Macaca mulatta: one gene and its partner. The main gene of each other region encodes a partner of the protein of the gene in region 2 in a complex. Links are inferred from orthologs where the notes say so. Each region holds a gene or a part of one and is shown on either strand. Other genes may lie near its edges. The genes, in order: EPS15 and AP2A2.

The links.
Region 1: the proteins of AP2A2 (region 2) and EPS15 are in contact, whole or in part, in a crystal structure (PDB 1KYU), measured with the Mus musculus proteins. The link is inferred for Macaca mulatta from reciprocal best matches to the Homo sapiens genes AP2A2 and EPS15. Residues at the interface, in XP_006536218.1 of Mus musculus: Phe442, Phe443, Trp446, Lys447, Asp487, Pro488, Val494, Arg511; in NP_031969.1 of Mus musculus: Asp629, Pro630, Phe631, Lys632.

Annotation. Positions count from the first base shown.
Region 1 is NC_133406.1:189,272,333-189,276,143, reverse strand, and holds part of EPS15 (epidermal growth factor receptor substrate 15), read right to left. Parts: coding exon 3,809-3,811; intron 2,915-3,808; coding exon 2,824-2,914; intron 1,348-2,823; coding exon 1,312-1,347; intron 1-1,311. UniProt on the Homo sapiens protein: Involved in cell growth regulation. May be involved in the regulation of mitogenic signals and control of cell proliferation. Involved in the internalization of ligand-inducible receptors of the receptor tyrosine kinase (RTK) type, in particular EGFR.
Region 2 is NC_133419.1:884,824-888,634, reverse strand, and holds part of AP2A2 (AP-2 complex subunit alpha-2), read right to left. Parts: coding exon 3,786-3,811; intron 2,353-3,785; coding exon 2,215-2,352; intron 1-2,214. UniProt on the Homo sapiens protein: Component of the adaptor protein complex 2 (AP-2). Adaptor protein complexes function in protein transport via transport vesicles in different membrane traffic pathways.

The DNA of each region.
Region 1 (3,811 bases), on a different chromosome or scaffold from region 2:
CACTTTGATAGGTTGAGGTGGACGGATCACTTGAGCTCAGGAGTTTAACACCAGCCTGGCTAACATGGTGAAACCCTGCCTCTACTAAAAACACAAAAATTAGCCAGGCATGGTGGTGCGCGCCTGTAATCCCGGCTATTCAGGAGGCTGAGGCATGAGAATAATTACTTCAGCATGGGAGGTGGAGGTTGCAGTGAGTTAAGATCACACTACTTGTACTCTAGCCTGGGCAACAGAGCAAGACTGTCTCAAAAAAAACCCCAAAAAGACAGTTTGAAATGCTGTAGAATCTAAGCTGACTATTTTTTATTTCACAGACTCCTTTGCAATTTTGATAAAAGATATAGAACCTTTCACCTAATAAACTTATTTTTTAAAATTAACATATAATTTCAAGGGATCCAATTTTAAGTTTCCTTATTCTACGCTATCATAACTAAAGAAAACACAATAAAAACTTCTAAATGTATTTTTCTCTCTGAGCTCAAAGCTAACAGCCAATAGTTTAGAACAGGTTTGGGATGCAAAAACTAAACGGTAAACAAGATTTGCATTATTCTAATGAAAATTCCCAGAAAAAGAGTATCTTAAAAAGCCTGGTGTTTTAGTAATTCTTCAAGATCCTCTTCCTCTAATCACATGTGTGGGCTATAATCATAGGAAAACAAAATTACATTCTAAATCCCGAAGTAGTATAGATCATTATGTTCACCAAACCTTTAGTTAGTAAGGAGGAATCAGAATAAATATTAAAAGCACCAAAGTGTAAACACTAATGTCATTTTTAAAAAGGTAAAGCTACTGGGCATAGTGGCTCATGCCTGTCTGTAATCCCAGCACTTTGGGAGGCTGAGGTAGGAGGACTGCTTGAGCCCAGGAGTTTAAGATCAACCTGGGCAACACAGTGAGACCCTGTCTCCACAAAAAATTTTTAAAAAAATCAGTCAGGTGTGCTGGCATGAGCCTGTAGACCTAGGTACTCAGGAGGCTGAGGCAGGAGGACTAGTTGAGCCCAGGAAGTCAAGGCTGCAGTGAGCCATGATCACACCACTGAATTGCAGCCTGGGTGACAGAATAAGACCCTGTCTCAGAAACAAAAAACACCAGGAAAAAAAAAAAAAAAAAAAAAAGAGAAGTAAAAGTAAAGCAACAATTTATTAAGCAAAATCTCAAGAATTTACTACTTTCTTTCTGAAAATGCCAGGCACATAGAGTATCTTACTGGGGCTTCAGTTTCAGACCCAAATAACGTAAGTTTATTATTAACCGGAAATGAATGAAAGCTAAGATGAAACTCAGTAAGATACTGACCGATTTTTCCAAAAGGATCATCCTTGAAAGGATCACCTGTGATAAAATAAACAGAAAGAAATCCAAATAACAGTATTTACTGTGATGACACCGTTACTTAAAGGGTAACTTTAAAACAAAAGCAAAGCAAAGTTTATTTCAATAACTTCACTTCAAAGTAGATAAAATAAGGAATGTCATTGACCTTATTAAATGTACAGCCAACTATACTTACCTTGATCACAAGTTGAGGTTACAGATGGAGGGGAAGATGTTACACCCAAAATTTTACTAACAAAACCTCTACTCTTCACAAGAGTACTGGGAGGGTGTTATTATCACCAGTTCAGAAATAAAGATACTGAGCTTTACTGAAGCGGGGAAAAAAAAAAAATTCTTACAGGACTGAAGAGTCCAGAAATAAATCCTTACATTTATGGTCATTTGATTTTTGAAAAGAGTATCAAGAACACAAAATGGACAAAGGACAGTCTTTTCAACAAAAGGTGTTAGGACAACTGGATATCCACATGCAAAAGAATGAAGCTTGACCCCTATCTCACATCACATACAAAAATAAACTCAAAATGGATCAAAGATCTAACTGTTAACAGCAAAACTATAAAACTCTTAGACAAAGAGAGCATTAAATCTTTGTGACTAAGGTAATAGTTTCGTAGATGACACCAAAAGCACAAGTGATAGAAGAAAAAATAGATAATTGGACTTCACCAAAATTGAATAAACACTTTTCCAAAGAAGACATACAAATGGCCAATAAGCATCTAGAAAGATGTTCAACATTAGTCAGCAGGAAAATACAAAGCAGGCCAGGCGCAGTGGCTCACGCCTGTAATCCCAGCACTTTAGAAGGCTGACGCAGGTGGATCACCTGAGGTCAGGAGTTCAAGACCAGCCTGGTCAAAATGGTGAAACCCAGTCTCTACTAAAATACAAAAATTAGGCCGGACGTGGTGGCTCACGCCTGTAATCCCAGCACTTTGGGAGGCCAAAGTAGGCAGATCATGAGGTCAAGAGATGGAGACCATCCTGGCCAACATGGTGAAACCCCACCTCTACTAAAAATACAAAAATTAGCTGGGTGTGGTGGCAGGCGCCCGTAATCCCAACTACTCGGGAGGCTGAGGCAGGAGAATCACTTGAATCTGGGAGGCAGAGGTTGCAGTGAGTCAAGATTGTGCCACTGCACTCCAGCCTGGCAAAAGAGCGAGACTCCATCTCTAAATACATACATACATACATACATACATACATACATACATACATACATAAAGTTAGCCGGGTGTGGTGGTGGGCGCCTGTAGCCCCAGGTACTCAAGAGGCTGAGACAGGAGAATTGCTTGAACCCAGGAGGTGGAGGTTGCAGTGAGCCGAGATTGTGCCACTGCACTCCAGCCTGGGTGACAGACTGAGTTGGTAGGCTATTGAAACCAAAGCCTTAATCCTTAGTTTATATATTACAAAGCCTTTTTTTTGGGTAAAACTATAATAGAAAAAAAAAAGAGTACTTACTGCCAACAAAAGGGTCAGACTGGAAAAAATCCAAGTTTGTATCTGCAACTGGATCTGTCAGCGAACTTGAGTCTACATTAAATGGATCTTCCTAAAAATAATTTTTAATTAAAATTTTTTTTTAGAAACCAAAGTTTTAAAAGGTAACATTTTAAAATAAAATAACATATATTCAGGTCATACACATGCTTTGCAAAATCAACTGATGGGCCGGGCACAGTGGCTCACACGTGTAATCCCAGCACTTTGGGAGGCTGATGTGGGTGGATCACAAGGTCAAGAGAGAGAGACCATCCTGGCCAACATGGTGAAACCCCGTCTCTACCAAAAATACAAAAATTAGCTGGGCGTGGTGGCACATGCCTGTAGTCCCAGCTACTTGGGAGGCTGAGGCAGGAGAATCGCTTGAACCTGGGAGGTGGAGGTTGCAGTGAGCCGAGATCGCGCCACTGCACTCAAGCCTGGGCGACAAAGTGAAACTTAAGTCTCGAAAACAAAAGAAAAATCAACTGATGGTAATGTAACAAAATATTTCTCTAGTCATAAAGTACATTTAACACGTTTCTCTTTCCTTCACCTAAAATAGTGTATAATTCATCTAAGGAAAACAGTATAAGGACATTTTTAAAATATATCATTTAATTTTTAGAGATAAGGTCTCTCTATGTTGCCTAGTGCCACCAGCTCAGGCTCAAGCAATCCACCTACTTCAGCCTCCTGAGTAGTTGGGACTACAGGCACTTGCCACCACATCCAGCTATTAAGAACATTTATTTATTATTTATTTATTTTATATGTATAAATTCAAGGGGTCCAAGTGGAATTCTGTTACATCACTATATTGCCTAATGGTAAAGTCGGGGCTTTTGATGTATCTGTCATCTGAATAATGTATATTGTACCCATTAAGTAATGTCTGATAATTCACCTCCTCCTGTCCTTCCACCCTTATGAGTCTCCAATGTTAATATAGAATTATTTTTACCTC
Region 2 (3,811 bases):
GAGCCGCTCATCACGCAGAGGGGCGAGAGCAGACACCGGGCTGAAGAATGCCCAGGACCTCAAAATCTGCTGTATTCAGAAGCACACTGCTTCTGTCTCTGTTCAAACCACCCAGAATGACGACCAGGAACGAGGCTCTTGTGACGGCCGTCCCCAGAGCCAGCCCCACCCCACCACAAGTGTTGAGACCAGGCCACACTGCCCCAGCCAGGCCAGAGAGGGTCCACTGGCTGCAGTCAACAAGCACCTGCCTGGCCACTCTACAGACAGCCCTGCCCTACACCAAACGCTCCCCGCGGTGCCTGCCCTTGGGGCCTCCTGCCGGGAGTCGGCCCACCCCTGTTCCTGGGCCCCTCAACTTCCCAGGCCCACTGCCCTGTCCTGAAGGGTGGACAGTCCAGCGTGAGAGTCACCTCCTGGTCCCCGCCCTCTGCAGGTCTGCAGTGCCTCACTGAAGCTCGGTCTGTGATAATTTCACCCCTCAGCATTGAAGTCCCAGTACCTGGGCCCCTCCGTTCACTAAAGACCCCTGAAAACCTGCATCTCTCACCTGGGCATAGCCACGCCCACCCGCCCAAAGCGACCTGTCACCTGCCACCAGCTCCGACCATGGCTCTCGGCAAAGCGCCCAAGGAGGCCTCGAGCTGTACTTTGCCCAAAAAGACAAATAACAAAGTGTTTTCTATACAATGGAGGCACTGTCTCAGCCTCAACAAGAGGCTGTGGTCCTGGCTGGTGACAGTGGCCAACCCCACATGAGGACACCCGGGCCTGCCCCTTAAACCCCACCATCCACAGACAGTGAGCCTGAGAGGCCTGTGAGCATGGTGGAGGCCTCAGGCCCTCTCCTCTGCTGACCATGTGGCCTCCACAAGGGTTCCCTCCCTCAAGTTTTGGGTCATGCTCAGTCTTTCATCCTTTCTCTTTTTTTTTGAGATGGAGTCTCGTTCTGTGCAATGGCGCGATCTCGGCTCACTGCAAGATCCGCCCCTCCCGAGTTCACACCATTCTCCTGCCTCAGCCTCCCCAGAAGCTGGGACTACAGGTGCCCACCACCACGCCCGGCTAATTTTTTGTATTTTTCGTAGAGATGGGGTTTCACCGTGTTAGCCAGGATGGTCTCGATCTCCTGACCCCGTGATCCACCCGCCTCAGCTTCCCAAAGTGCTGGGATTACAGGCATGAGCCACTGTGCCCTGCTGATGCTCAGTCTTTCACACATACAGGTTCGATGAGCTTCAGCAATTTGGCAAGTATGCACGCCTACTTTGTGGATAAAAACAACATGGGAAATTAAGCTATGGCCTAGATCCCGTCCTTCCCAGAGATCAAGAGAGAGACACAAAAAAAAGCCAAGCCACAAAGGATTAATTCAAGGGCTCAAAATGCAACATAATTAAACAAATAAAAGAATTTTGCCCACAGGAGTCTGAATTTGTACAGCCCCACCGTAGACGGCTACAGCCTCACTCAGACCTGGGGCTGCAGTGCCACCACCGAAAGGACAGGCAGGCCACAGAAGCCACGCGGGGCAGGTGTTTTAGTTTTCTTTTTTTTTTGAGATGGAGTTTCACTCTTGTTGCTCAGGCTGGAGTGCCGTGGCAGGATCTCGGCTCACCACAACCTCCGCCTCTGCCTCCCAGGTTCAAGCGATTCCCCTGCCTCAGCCTCCGGAGTAGCTGGCATTACAGGCATGCGCCACCATGCCCAGCTAATTTTGTATTTTCAGTAGCGATGGGGTCAGGGGTTCTGCATGTTTGTCAGGCTGGTCTTGAACTCCCAACCAGGTGATCCACCCGCCTCAGGCTCCCAAAGTGCTGTGATTACAGGCGTGAGCCACCGCACCCGGTCAATAGTTATTTTCAAGACCAAATGACTCTACCAAAAATGAGTTGTTGTTTTTTTTTTAAAGACAGGGCCTCGCTGTGTTGCCCAGGCTGGAGTGCAGTGACATGATCTCGACTCACGGCAGCCTCAACCTCCTGGCCTCAGGTGATCCTCCCGCCTCCACCTCCGGAGTAGCTGGGACCACAGGCGCCACCACACCCAGCTTGAAAATGTGGATTGAAATGCAGAGGCAGAGGAGCCTTGTATCCAGCATCTCATGGGTTCTCAATCAAGCCCTGCGGGACAGAATCACAGAGCACGAAGGAAATTCCGCCCCTGAGATTCGTGCTTGTGGCAGGAGAGGACTCAGAGGCCACCAGAACTCACAATCTCTTCTCGGATGGAGTAGTCGGCCGTCTCCAGATAGCTCAGCATCTCGGCCACGATCTGTGGGGCATTGCTGCGGTCGCACATGGCATAGAGGAGGTCCACGGCCCGCTGCCGCACGCTCACGTCCCGCTCGGTCTGGGGAACAAGGCACAGAGTAAGAGGCCGCAGGAGCAAGGCCCAGGCTTGGGGATAGGCCCGGCACCGCATCTCAACGCCCACCCTGAGCTTCCCTCACACACACATCCAGGTCCAAGGATCCGACCTGCACTCGGGCCGCATGCGTCTGGATGGCCCGGAAAAGAGTTCCGCCTACTCACCCGGCCCTCCCACCGCACAGGCCGGTTTCGCTAGGTCCCAGCGCACTGCCTGGGTTCCCTCCGCTCGTCCGCGCCTCCCTCCGCACAGGCCAGCTTCGCTAGGTTCCAACGCACTGCCTGGGTTCCCTCCGCTGGCCCGCGCCTCCCTCTGCACAGGCCAGCTTCGCTGGGACCGAGCGCACTGCCTGGTGTAGACGGCCCGGAATAGAGTTCCGCCTCCTCGCCCGCGCCTCCCTCCGCACAGGCCAGCTTCGCTAGGACCGAGCGCACTGCCTGGTGCAAGTTATTAAGGCCTCGCTTCCATGCAGCTGAAGACCCCGCTGCCTCCGACACTGCCGTGGAGCTGCCCCAAGGCAGGTTCTCACGCCCCACCCTGGAGCCCGTGCTGATGAGCCCCCGCTGATGAGCCCCCAAGAGGCTCTGCAGCATGAGAAAGCCCGAGGTCTGCATAGCTCTGCTCCCAGCAAACGGCAGGAGAGTGGGCACTGCCAGCCCTAGCACTGGCCGTATTAAAATGAGCGTCCAGCCTTTCTGACAATAGGGATTGACTAAAACACACACCGAACCAGGACCAAGAAGAATCCAGAATACCAAACGCCCACCACGAGCCCCTCGCACGCCACCCAGAACACCCGTGAGCTGCACACACACGTGCGGAGGGCCGGGAGCGGCCCTGCCACAGCCTGAGGCTGAGCCAGACGGGAGACGTGCAGCTCCCCACCTCCCACCTCCTAACACATGCACACCGGTGACTAAGGACGTGGCAGACACGTCCTACATGGAACGAACCCTCGGGGTCGCTCTGGAGTCTCACGAAGGCTGGCAATGGCCAACCTCAACTGGGTCTTCCAACTCTGAAATTTTAACCCCCAAATAAAGTGAGTTTCCTGATTTTCTCAGAGATGAGGGAAAAAATTTCATCTTTCTACCAAGAAGAACTATTTCTACTTGTTGGCATTATGCACATGCAGGATGGCACACGGGGACCTGCCCCCAGCAGGGAAAGGGCTGCCAGGGACTCGTGTGCTCAGCCTAACCAGCAGAGCAGGGCCGTCCTGGCCATCGCCAGGCAGCATGGCCCTCAACTGTGGTGTGACCTCCCAAGAGTAGGTGACAGGCAGAGGCCAGCAGCACCAGCCACCACCTCCATCTCTGCGGGGAGTCAGGAAGCACTGCGTCCCCCCAGCCTTCACAGGAAGGCCCACAGCACCTGCTCAGGGAGTGAGCAGACCCCGAGGACAGGGCACTCGCCTTCAGGGCGTTGATGACAGTCTCGA